Linked DNA regions of Ovis aries. The protein of the gene in region 1 purifies or fractionates together with the protein of each later gene. This does not show direct contact. Links are inferred from orthologs where the notes say so. Each region holds a gene or a part of one and is shown in the gene's direction. Other genes may lie near its edges. The genes, in order: PRKAG3, PIP4P2 and PFDN1.

Region 1 (4,319 bases):
GCAGGCTAGCCTCTTCCTGGCTCTGTTCTCCTCCTCCATCCCCATAGGCAGTACAGGGGCTTTGAGGGATGATGGGAAATACGTTCACTAAATCAGCAAGAAATCCAGTAACCCATTACGGAGCATCCGTTCACTCCATGGTGAGATCGGGATGGAAGAGGCTGGAAACAGAAGAAGAAGGGGAGGGGGGCAGAGAGGAGAGCTGGAGCAGCTGGGTCAGCATTCCCAATTTGGACGCTGACTCAGGCCCCAGGAATGCTAAGGAAGGGGGGGTGGGTGGGCAGCCACCAGAACCAGCTGGGATCCTGTTGGCCCCAGGAGACGTAGAAACAGCACACACAGTGGCACGAGGGGACAGTGGCTCCTGCACACCTGGATCTACCTCCACAGGTACAAACAGGTGTCTGTCACACTGGAGACAAGTGCAAGCCCACCACACGTCGTCAAGGTGATTCTCAGGACTCCCCACCTGCCTGAACCGTCCAGTTCCAGATCCTTCACCTAGAGAACGGGCCCCTGGGACTCGAATAGTGACATCTGGACACACACTGACCACTCTCTCAGTACCACCCACAAAACTCTTAGCCCCAACCTGCTAGCCGGCTGCAACCTGCCCTTTCTAATTCCAGCACCACCCATGACCCAGGTTTGTACAAGAGAGTTCAGCTCAACTGCCTCTGTTTTTCCTCCTTTGGCACCTGACAAAGATGAGAGGGGCTCTCAGAGGAGAAACCCCAGGGCTCTGAAAGACCCCCTCCTCCCACACCAGCGCCCACCCTCCCCCCACAGCAGGGTCCTTCTCTCCCATCATCGGACACGCAGGAGGCACACAGAACCAGGCATCAAGATTCCAAGTGCACCCCTCCCCTCACCTCCCCAGCAGCCCCCAGGCTTCAGGGCTGGAGCAGCTGCGCGGGTGGACCCCTTCCTCCCCAGTGCCCGACACCCAATCAGAGAGAACCTGATCCGGGAGGGCAGGGTGCCAGGGGCCGGGCCCAGAATAGTGCTGCCCAGATACAGTGTTGCGCACTCGCTCATGGAGCCCGCCGAGCTGGAGCACGCTCTGCGCAGGGTACCGGGGTCCCGGGGGGCCGGGAGCTGGGGCAGCTGAGGCCACAGGGCTGAGAGCACCCTGCCGCATGGATATGTGCGTGCATGTGGGTGTGTTTGACCACGATTTCCTCTGTGTATAGGAGCAGGAGGCTGTCTGCATGTGTATATTCTTGGTGTGAGTCTATGTGCCTGTGTGTGTCTGGAGAGGGTTGAATATGGGAGTTTCTGAGTGTATGTAAGTGTCTAGGTGGGTTGAATGTGTTTATGTGTGTTCGGGGCGGGGGGTGGGTGTTTGAGTTTTGTGGGGGTGTGTGTGGTTGTGTATGTGTGGCAGGAAGGGCAGCTCCTGTGGTTCTGAGTGTAGGATGTTCTCCCCACCCTTTCAGTCACTCTTCTCCACACAGACCCCCTCCTGGAGCAGCTTTGGGGGACCTGAGCATCAAGGTAGGTGGGGCTGCCCCTCCTTATGGGCCCAGCCTCTTCTTCCACTTCCTCTCCTACCACGTCTCTGGCTCCCAACCTCTCCCACCCCACTAGCCTGTCTTCTTCTTTTCCTTCTTTGTTCCTACTTGCTTCTTCTTCCGCCTTTTCCCTCTCTCCTCCTTCCTCTTTCAGAAGAAGAAAGGAGGGGGGTGGATCTAGAGTCTGAAGATTTGGAGCCTCCTGACTTAATCACGTGCTAGCTGTGTGATCTGTGGCAAATTGCTTAACCTCTCTGATCTCAGGTCCCTTGTCAATAAAATAGGGATGATACTAGTGCCTCCCTTACAAGACTGCTATGAGGTCTGAATGAGAAATACACTGGAGGAAAAGACCTTTGGACGTTTGCAAATATGGAATATTATTGTTAATAACATTTCAATTGTTTTACTGTGTTACTCCCATTAACCAAACAGGCTCCATTCCCCCTTCCAGAGATGAGCTTCCTAGAGCAAGGAGACAGCACTTCATGGCCATCACCAGCCATGACCACCAATGCAGAAATAAGCCTTGGGGAACAGAGGACCAAGGTCTCAAGATGGACAAGCCAGGAGGATGTAGAGGAAGGGGAGCTTCCAGGCCTGGAGGGAGGTGAGGCCACGGCCAGTTCTGGGGAGATGGGACTGGGGGCAGTGGGAAGTCCCCGAAACTGGAGCTGGCCTTGCCCTGGATCCCTCCATAACACAGACGCTTGACATCCTGTGGCCTCAGTTTCCCCACATGAGAGAGGGCAACTGCAGTGCTGATCCAGGGGCCCAGCAAGGCCAGCTCAGGACAGAGCCACCCTCTGGTGTGACTCTCTCGGCTCTCTCACTCGCAAAATGGGGACCTCCGCATCCAGGCTTCCCACGCTGCTCTGAGGATGAAGGGAGACAACAGATGGGAACATGCTTTGGAAGATGGAGTTACTGTCCTCTCCCCATGAACAGGTCCCCAGTCCAGGCCAGCTGCTGAGTCCACCGGGCTGGAGGCCACATTCCCCAAGGCCACACCCTTGGCCCAAGCCAATCCCTTGTCTGAGGTGGGCACCCCCACAACAGAGCGAGACAGCCTCCCCGCTGATTGTACAGCCTCTGCTTCCGGCTCCAGCACAGACGGTCTGGATCTGGGCATAGAGTTCTCAGCCCCAGCAGCGTGGGGGGATGAGCTCGGCCTGGTGGAAGAGAGGCCGGCCCAGTGCCCGCCCCCGCAGGTGCCGGTGCTCAGGCTTGGCTGGGATGATGAGCTGCGGAAGCCAGGGGCCCAGGTCTACATGCACTTCATGCAGGAGCATACCTGCTACGACGCCATGGCAACCAGCTCCAAGCTGGTCATCTTTGACACCATGCTACAGGTGAGGCCGCCGTTCTGCCCCACCTGCATACTCACAGCCCCCAGGATCCCCTGCCAGCCCTGCCCGGCTACACATTCCTTCCAGAATTCCTTCTTGGCACCATGGAGACCAGGGGAGGGGAGCTTTTGCTCTCTGTGTGCACCCCCTAATTGTCATCTCAGCTCTACAACTCAGTATCTATAGGGTTTGGGGTAGGTCTTTTTACTTGCTCAGCTCTAAAATGGGGACAGGAATGCCTGCTTTACCCTACAAGTTTCAGAGGACTCCTGGGCCAATCCAGGATGACTGGGAGCATTTTTCACACCCAGAATTGTATAGAAAGCATTTCTTTCTTGCTGTGTATCGAACAGCAGACTGTAGTGTAGAATAGAAACAAGGTATATCTATGACCCACGGTTCACTTTGATTCTAGCGGTATATGAAAAAATATATTTAATTTAGTAGCTTTGCATTTATTTTGATATGTGTTACGAAGCTACAACTAGCATGTATGGATAGTATTGCTTCAGATGAGGCCAAAATGAGTCAATGTAAATATATTTAGAGAAAAATATTTTGTAAATATCAGAGAATTACACCTCTAGTATTTAGATTGGCACAAATTATCCTGTATGCATCTGTACACTTTGGACCTTGGTGTAGAAATACTAGGTTTGTCTCCTATGCCCTGGTGTGCCTGTTAAGGGGTCACCTAGTGCCCCCGGGCACCTGCAGCCTTATCTTTGTAGCAAATGTGCCCATGAGGGTCATGTCGAGTGGCAGGCAGGCTCCTGGAGTGGAGGGCCTGTGAGAAGGCCCCTTGGAAGGCCCCTGGTCAGGACAGGGGACTCTGAGGGGTGGTGAGTAACTCACCCTCAACTGTTCTCCCTGTGGCTCAGATCAAGAAGGCCTTCTTTGCCCTGGTGGCCAACGGCGTCCGGGCTGCACCTCTATGGGACAGCAAGAAGCAGAGCTTCGTGGGTGAGGAGGGGCCGGGGAGGGAAAAGGGGGACCTTGTGGGGCGATTCAGGGGCTGAGCTCTGGGGCAGGGCCCTGGCTTGGGGGGAACAGGCTGGCTGGGAGACCCCCATCTGTGGGACAGCTGTAACCAGCTGATGGAGAAGGGGCTGAGCCCTCCACCTGCCTCTGCCACAGGGCCCGGGGTGAACCCCACTCCTCTCTCTCCCCTCTCCCACCCCCACAGGGATGCTGACTATCACAGACTTCATCTTGGTTCTGCATCGCTATTACCGGTCCCCCCTGGTGAGGAGTGGGCTCAGGGTCCTGGGGGCACCCATCTGGACTGGGGCGGAGGGAGTTCAGGGAGCCCACGTCTGACTTGGGAGTTCTGTTGATGTTCTAGGTCCAGATCTATGAGATTGAAGAACACAAGATTGAGACCTGGAGGGGTGAGTGGGTAAAGGGTCCTGCAAAGGGGCTGTGTAGAGGGTGTGGGGGGCCAAGGACCCAGGGT
Region 2 (3,524 bases), on another chromosome or scaffold:
AAATTGAGTCACTTTGTTGGACAGCAGAAATTTAAAAAAAACAAACATTGTAAATCACCTCTACTTCCACTTTTTAAAAAGCAGAATGATTTTAGATGTTGCTTGTGAAAGTAACTCAGTCGTGTCCGACTCTTTGTGACCACTTCAACTATACAGTCCATGAAATTCTCCAGCCAGAATACTGGAGTGGGTAGCTGTTCCCGTCTCCAGGGGATCTTCCCAACCCAGGGATCGAACCCAGGTCTCCCACGTTACAGGTGGATTCTTTACCAGCTAAGCCACCAAGGAAGCTTGGCTGGCGTTATTTACAAGAAGGAAAATGCTAAGTGTCCAATAGTAGGGAATTCATTAAGTTATGTTATATTCATCTTTCAGAATTCTACTTTGAGAATACCTAATGATGTAAGAAAATGCTTATGCTAAATTGGTAAGTTAGAAAAGATGGCTGCAGAAAAATAGGCAAAATGTTCAGTGGTATTCATGGTAGTGGAATTATAGGTAATTTTCCTTTTTATTCTTTATTCTTATTTTCTACACTAAACATATGCCAACAGTTATAAATGTAAGAGAAAAAAATGCTATTTTTAAGATAGAACCTATTTTCCATTCTGAAATAGAGTTTTTTGGTAATAAAATTTTATCTTGGAAAATAATCATTGACTATTGTGGGTTTTTATGGATATTGTCAATGACCAAGACTTGAATCTTGTTTAAAACTACAACGAGTCACTACAACACAAACTCACTAATTATGATTTAGATAGCTCATTAAAAATATCATTCTTTTTTATTTTTATTTTGGTTGCACTGGGTCTTCGTTGTGGCCTGCAAGCTCTTTGTTGTGGTGCATGGGCTTTCTCTAGCTGCAGGGAGCAGGCTTCTCTTGTTGCAGTTTGGAGACTGCTCTAGTTCTGGCTCGAGGGCTTAATTGCCCTGCGGTATGTGGGTTCTTAGTTCCCTGACCAGGGGTTGAACCCACGTCCCCTGCATTGAAAGGTGAATTCTAAACCACCGGACCACCAGGGAGGTCCCCCCAGATATCATTCTTATTATGCACGTTCTTGTCTCTCAAGTTGAAGAAATAAATGGAAGCATATATATGTTACTAAAGTCATGAATTAGTACTCACAATGATGATATGGAGAACCTTCATGTTCATACTTAATATTCTTTTTTGTTCTCATGAAATTTACAGTTCTTCAGTGGGTAGTGCACTTCCTCGAAGGCGCTGCTGTGTATATATTACCATTGGAATGATATGTATTTTCATTGGGATTGGATTAACTGTGAGTATTACTCTATTCCTTGTTAGAATTCTTTCCTCTTAACTTGATCAGTAGTAAATGGTGAGGTTTGGAACAACTTTCATTGATCCCTAAAGAACCTGCCTCCCTGACATGCCAGGCTAGAAGCTTCTAAAAAATTTTGAGCAATCTGAAGGCAATCCATGGGCTTGTTCTCAGCGGAGTTTGCCCATCCAGGTGAAATCATGTCTTGGGATCCCTCTGAAAGTTCTTGATATCACGCATTTAACAAAAAGCCCATTTGTTTTTATTTAGTGCCAGCCCCAGTTTTGCCATGGCCAGAGCTGAAGCAATACTCATTCAGCTACAATGGTCTAAAAAATTCTTCTTTTTATTCAAGTCAGACAAAGATTTATTATCAATATGGGGATGGCATCAGGGATATAGATTAAATTCCTTTATAAATGGTTTAATGGGATTTTTGTTGATTTGATAAAATGTATAGTTAACATAATCTGCTATGTCATTTTATGAAATTTTGCTCTATCCGTGTCAGTCAACAAATGCAGCAACTCATATTTTGTCATCTCGGGAATATGTTTCATAAAAATCACCAAAAAAGCCAACACAAATTCTCAGTTTCTAACCTTTTATTTTTATATTGCTTTTTATTTTAGGTTGGTACCCAAGATTTTGCAAGACGATTTCATGCAACCTATGTTTCTTGGGCAATTGCTTATCTCTTAGGTTTGGTCTGCCTTATCCGAGCTTGTTATTGGGGAGCCATAAGAGTGAGTTATCCAGAACACAGTTTTGCATAAGCTTGTTTATGACCTTGTGATGCGGTTGAGGGTATCTAACAGTTCTTGATAAGCTACTCTGGACATCTTAAATCATTTACCTAATGGATTTCATTTTCATTTATGTATGAAGTTTTAAGACTGGGAGCCTTATATGAACAAATGTTTATTGTACTACATTATAGGCAAATAGTTTCTTTTGCTGCTAAGTTTTCAAGCTCCAAATAATAAAGCTTGGTCTTCATGTTCTTTTACATGTCTTAAAGGTATTTTTGATTTGTTCCCATCTTTATACCTAACACCACACTTTCATTATTTTTAAATCAATTATTCTATTACTTGCTGGTCTGTGAGTATTCTCAAGGAGTGTTTATAAATATTGCTGTAATAGCTTCACATTTATATTCACTTTTTAATTAAGCTATCACAATTGCTTGCTTTAAATCTAAGCAATATGCATTTTGCTTGAACTGCTTATAGTAACTTTAACCTAAGATCATAGTGACATTGTTCAGGAAAAAAAAATATGTTTAGTGTACCTTCAAAGACTTGACATTCTTGTCAGATAAAGACCATTTCTAGATACTGTATGCTTGTTTTATGTTGTTTGTAGAAATAAATAATATTTTGGTAGTAATTTAAAATATGAGAATAAAATATTTATTTGTCCACCGTTGGAGATATGTTGGATAAATGTTTGTTCTCAAAGATCACAGGACTTTTGTCTTTCATTTTTGTCATTGTTTGAAAATGTTCTAATTATAAAAGTTCTGGCCTAGATTTATGAAATTTAATATTAACCATCTCTATGTATTCCTTTATGGAACTTGAAGAAAGTGTTTCACATAACATGTTTCATAATGTTTAACAGTTTACAAAAATGTATCTGTATCAGATTGTCCTCCTTTTCATTAGATCATGGTTAATTTTTCTTATTGGGGTGTGTGTGTGTGTTTTAGTCGCTCAGTCGTGTCTGATCCTTTGCACGTCCATGGACTGTAGCCTGCCAGGCTCCTCTGTCCGTGAAGTTCTTCAGGCAGGAATACTGGAGTGGGTTGCCATGCCCTTAATTTATGGAATACGTGGGGCTTCCCAGATGGCACAGTGGTAAAGAATCTGCTTGCCAGTGCAGGACATGCAAGAGACTTGGGTTCGATGCCTGGGTTGAGAAGATTCCCTGGAGGAGGAAATGGCAACCCATTCCAGTATTCTTGCCTGGAAAATTCCATAGACAGAGAAGCCTAGAGGGCTATAATCCATGGAGTCACAGTCAGTCAGACACAACTGAGAACACACATATGGAATACTGAAATGTGAAGGAAGCCTGTGACATTTTACACAGGCTAAAATGTTAAGATTAGATGTAGTTAGTTTTATCATCCTTCTCAAAGATAGCTGGTCAAATGATTACCAAATTTATTCCAAATACAGATCAAAGACAAAAAGCAATGTAGTTTTCTAGGAATTCACTAGGATTTAA
Region 3 (4,224 bases), on another chromosome or scaffold:
TGATGGACATTTGAACAGCTAATAAGTCTAATAAAAAAAAATTTTTAAGACAGATAGTGTCATGTGTCTTGAAAAAGGAACAGAAGTAGTCTTGAAATTCCAAGGAGAGATTATTTATGGTCTGTGTGATGTAAAAAATAAAAAAAATACATAATGGATACATATTATGTGTCTGCTGCTTGCTGTATCTTGAAAGACAAATATAACAATGCTAACTACATGAACTTAATTATACCTTTTTATTGTGTGCCTACTGTGTGCATTGTGCTATGCTTGGAGCTTTCCATCCTGATCTTGTTTACTCCTCAGAATAACTCTGTTAGGTCAGTACTGTTATTCTCATATTAAATGAGGAGACAGACTCTGTTGATACACAACTAGTAAATGGAAGCAGACATACCTACGCTCAGTGTAGACCAAACCTTGAATACAGATTTGTTTAGTTCCAAACTCCCTGCCCTTTCCCCTGCCTCACAGGTTTTTAGAGTAAGGAAGATATCCATTTCTTTCATGTCCATCCTTCTAGTCATCCTTCTGGTTCAAATGCCAGCTATTTTACAGCAGATTTTCAAAATGTGGTTTGCAGTCCACTTAGATCAGATCATAAAAGGAGTTTGCAAAAGTATGTATTTCTGTGCCCCATATCAAAGATTCTAAGTAAGTTTGGGATGAGGATCAGAGAATCTGCATTTTTTTTTTCTTTTAAAAAGAAATTTGGTTTCTCGTGAGAACTCCTGTGTCTACAAGGTCTTCTGAGAACATTCAGTATAAATAAGTTCTTTGGGAAAACGCTTCAACTAAGCCTTCTGGACACGGCTGAGCGACTGAACTGAACTGAAGCCTTCTGGTCTTCTCCATGCTGCCATGTCTGAAACTCAGGCTGATTCTTTCTCATCCCTCCCTGACAGCACAGGACTCGCTGAAGGCATGAATGACTTTAAAGGTTTTAGCTTGATCTACATACATCTTAATTTAGCGACACAAACTAAACTATTTGTCGAAGTGGTTAAAACCACACACGAGGGGACGGAGGCGGGAGGGGGGTTCAGGATGGGGAACACGTGTACACCCGTGGCGGATTCATGTTGATGTATGGCAAAACCAATACAATATTGTAATTAGTCTCCAATTAAAATAAATAAATTTATATTAAAAAAACACACACACGAAATCTGCAGATTGTGCCGTGTTTGGAAGGATGTGGAGAATCACGGCAGGCCCATAGGTCACGTGGGGAAGACGTACTCTGAATCGGAATCCCGGTTATTTCAGGCGTTAATAACGACGGGGAAGGTAGGAAAACCAAGCAGCCCCACTCATGCGCAGGCGCAGAAGGAAGAGGCCCTATCAAATCTTCAGGGCGCGCCCTTCCCCCACGCTCTTTCCGGGCTTCTCCCACTGCGCAGGCGCAGTAGTGAAGCAAGATGGCGGCCCCCGTGGATCTGGAGTTGAAGAAGGTAAAAGAGGGTCTTGAGCAGGCAGAAGCTTTTCTTTGGAAGCTAAGGCGACTGTGGACAATAATGTCGAGTGAGTCTCGAGTGCTGCGGAAGGAAAGAGGCCCCAGGGAAATGGGGAGTGGTTTCTCAGAGTGCAAAGGCGGGACCGGGCCTCCTTAGGCGGGAGTCGAGGGCGAGCGGCTCTTTGCCGGGTAAGAGCCGGTTGGGCTGGGCCTGGTTAAGTTTGGCGGGCCTATAGCTGTTTTGTTCCCTTGTTCCGAGCTCCAGAGACCTTTCGTTGCTCTTGGTGCCTTCAGTTCCATAGTGAGGCCTGAAATGAGCGCTTCCAGTTGGAGCCTCTTAGCCTGCTTGCCCGAGCTGTAGCATCTGTAATTCTGTATACTAATTTGCTTTGAAAAACTCCAAGTCCAGTCTGTTTTTAGGTCAGTTCTTTAATCCCATATCTTGTAAGGTCGCTTCATACAGTTCAGTCAGGTATCCTCGTAGCAATGTTCATCTTAGGGCTTTGCCAACAACCGCCCCCTCCCCACCCTCGTTTTTAAAGATTTGTCAAAGAAGAAACAAGTCAAAGGTTTCCAGATCAAATTGGTATCAGAAGGAATTGAGTTTCTCTCTTCAAACAATTGCCTAGAAATGTGTTGTTACACAGAAATGTTTTCACCACCTGAGAGTTGTCAGGATTCTAACACCACTACCGACTCAAAAGCGTATCCTTTTTTTTTTTTTTTTTTTTGCGAAGAGAAGGAGAATGGGGATTGGAAAGGAGCCTAGACTTCATCTACTTTAAACTGATACTTTTCTAGAAAAGGAAACAGTTTAACAGAAGAGTCAGCCCAAGCTTGGTTCTAGAATATTGCATTCTCTGCCTCACTTTCCACCTTTTGACCACTACTTGAGGTTAGAAGAGCAAATTTTGTTTAAGACTGTCTTGTAATCTATCTTTGCATGAGAAATAAGACAGTTGAAGTAGCTCTTCCACGTAATAGATGAAGCAGTGTATTATTGCTCTGAGGATTTGTGTGTGTGTATTGCCTTTTGTTTGGAACTTGTACCTTTACTCCTTATGGTGCTGTCTAGTGCTGTATTATCTCAGCTTTAACAAAATACTAGCTTCCTTACCAAACTGTGTCTTAAAGTGTTTTAAAAGTTTACCTTTTTTTTCCGTTAAAAGTTCAAATTTAAGTTAGGGTTTAGTGAGAGCTAACAATAGAATACAGCTATGAATGGACTTACCCCTCAGTATTATTTCAGTCTGTTGCTGGGAAACCTGTGGACAGTGAATGCAAACTAAGAAGATAATTACAGACTTAAATTGGGTAGTTTTGTCAACCAATAAAATTACAGAAGAAACTTGTTTAAAGGTCTTTTAATGTTTATAATTTTGGGGGGAGGGGAAGGGATGGAGACTAATAGGAAACTTTAGGTACCTCCTCTCCCCTCTAGATAAACCTTTTGAAACCTTACTAGTAGGTGAGAACAAAGTCAGAATAAAAGTTAGTAGCTTTTTGCCATGTATTGCAGCCACAGATGTTATTATTAAGTCAGAATTTGACAGCATGTGAAAATCATTCTAGGCACTTCAGAAGTATCAAAAACCTTTTAACAGTACTCAGAGGTCAAGTTTGGCTTATCGTGTGCATATGAAGATCATGATGCAATTCTTTTATCAATGCTTTGAATTTTTTTGTGTGTCTTTCTCTTAAAATATTCATTTTCTGAATATTACTGTGGATAGTAGAGTAGAAAGATTCAGTAACTAGCGGTCAGAAGTTAATTAAGTACTTGGTTTTTGACCTAGTAGTTGCTCAGCCCTGTGAAAGTCATTTATATCTCTTTAAAACATTTAGTTAATTTGTAAACTGTGCTGATGAATCTGCCATCCTTAACTCAGGATTATTGAAAAGAGAAAATGAGACATTTATTATATGTCAGTATTCTCATATTAATATTCACATGTTAATATTTCAAACAAGTGTGGGAAAGTGCTTTAAATAATCTTGAGTAGTACAGATGTGGTGAGTTGTTACATTAATGGTTCCTGATTTGGGTCTCTGGGTTTGTGATTGTTGCCTTTAGAGCTTTTATTAATCCTTGGGTACCTGCTACTTGATATGGTTGTTATTTACCGTGCCTTTGTTCAGCTTCTTCAGATAGGTTGCATCTTCTGAGGACTGGGTAAGTTCAGTACAGTTGACTCTTGAACAGCATTGGTTTAAACGTCAGGGATCCAGTTGTACACAGATTTTTAAAATAGTAAATACTAGAGTACTACATGATATGTAGTTGGTTGAATCAACAAATGTAGAACCAGGGATACAAAGGAACTGCTATATGGAGAGTCAACTATAAATTATACTTGGATTTTCAACTGCACAGAGGGTCAGTGCTTCTAATCACTGAATTGTTCAGGGCTCAAGTTTTTAGCAGACTGGCTTTGAGATGTTTGCTGTGGTAAATTTCACGGCTTTGTCTGTTTAACAGGCTTCATTTTAATAGATTTGATATAGACATTTACTGTAAAATGTTGCACCTACTAAATCAAGGACTTATTTCTTTTTAGGCCTTCACAGAGCTTCAAGCCAAAGTTATTGACACTCAACAGAAGGTGAAGCTTGCAGATGTACAGATTGAACAGCTGAACAGAACGAAAAAGCATGCACATCTTACAGATACAGAGATTATGACTTTGGTAGATGAGACTAACATGTATGAAGGTGTAGGAAGAATGTAAGTAAAGTATATCCTTAAGGGGGTTATCCTGAAAGAA

Evidence for each region.
Region 2: the proteins of PRKAG3 (region 1) and PIP4P2 purify together in Homo sapiens (affinity purification with mass spectrometry; 3 studies listed by BioGRID and IntAct, with this or other methods). This does not show direct contact. The link is inferred for Ovis aries from reciprocal best matches to the Homo sapiens genes PRKAG3 and PIP4P2.
Region 3: the proteins of PRKAG3 (region 1) and PFDN1 purify together in Homo sapiens (affinity purification with mass spectrometry; 3 studies listed by BioGRID and IntAct, counting the BioPlex papers as one, with this or other methods). This does not show direct contact. The link is inferred for Ovis aries from reciprocal best matches to the Homo sapiens genes PRKAG3 and PFDN1.

The regions. Positions count from the first base shown.
Region 1 is NC_056055.1:220,806,482-220,810,800, reverse strand, and holds the start of PRKAG3 (5'-AMP-activated protein kinase subunit gamma-3), read left to right. Parts: upstream 1-1,497; intron 1,498-1,949; coding exon of another isoform or gene 1,950-1,970; coding exon 1,971-2,124; intron 2,125-2,462; coding exon 2,463-2,866; intron 2,867-3,744; coding exon 3,745-3,826; intron 3,827-4,049; coding exon 4,050-4,108; intron 4,109-4,208; coding exon 4,209-4,254; intron 4,255-4,319. UniProt on the Homo sapiens protein: AMP/ATP-binding subunit of AMP-activated protein kinase (AMPK), an energy sensor protein kinase that plays a key role in regulating cellular energy metabolism.
Region 2 is NC_056062.1:86,355,792-86,359,315, forward strand, and holds part of PIP4P2 (type 2 phosphatidylinositol 4,5-bisphosphate 4-phosphatase), read left to right. Parts: intron 1-1,195; coding exon 1,196-1,286; intron 1,287-1,921; coding exon 1,922-2,065; 3' UTR 2,066-3,524. UniProt on the Homo sapiens protein: Catalyzes the hydrolysis of phosphatidylinositol-4,5-bisphosphate (PtdIns-4,5-P2) to phosphatidylinositol-4-phosphate (PtdIns-4-P).
Region 3 is NC_056058.1:49,170,282-49,174,505, reverse strand, and holds the start of PFDN1 (prefoldin subunit 1), read left to right. Parts: upstream 1-1,408; 5' UTR 1,409-1,424; coding exon 1,425-1,457; intron 1,458-4,017; coding exon 4,018-4,184; intron 4,185-4,224. UniProt on the Homo sapiens protein: Binds specifically to cytosolic chaperonin (c-CPN) and transfers target proteins to it. Binds to nascent polypeptide chain and promotes folding in an environment in which there are many competing pathways for nonnative proteins.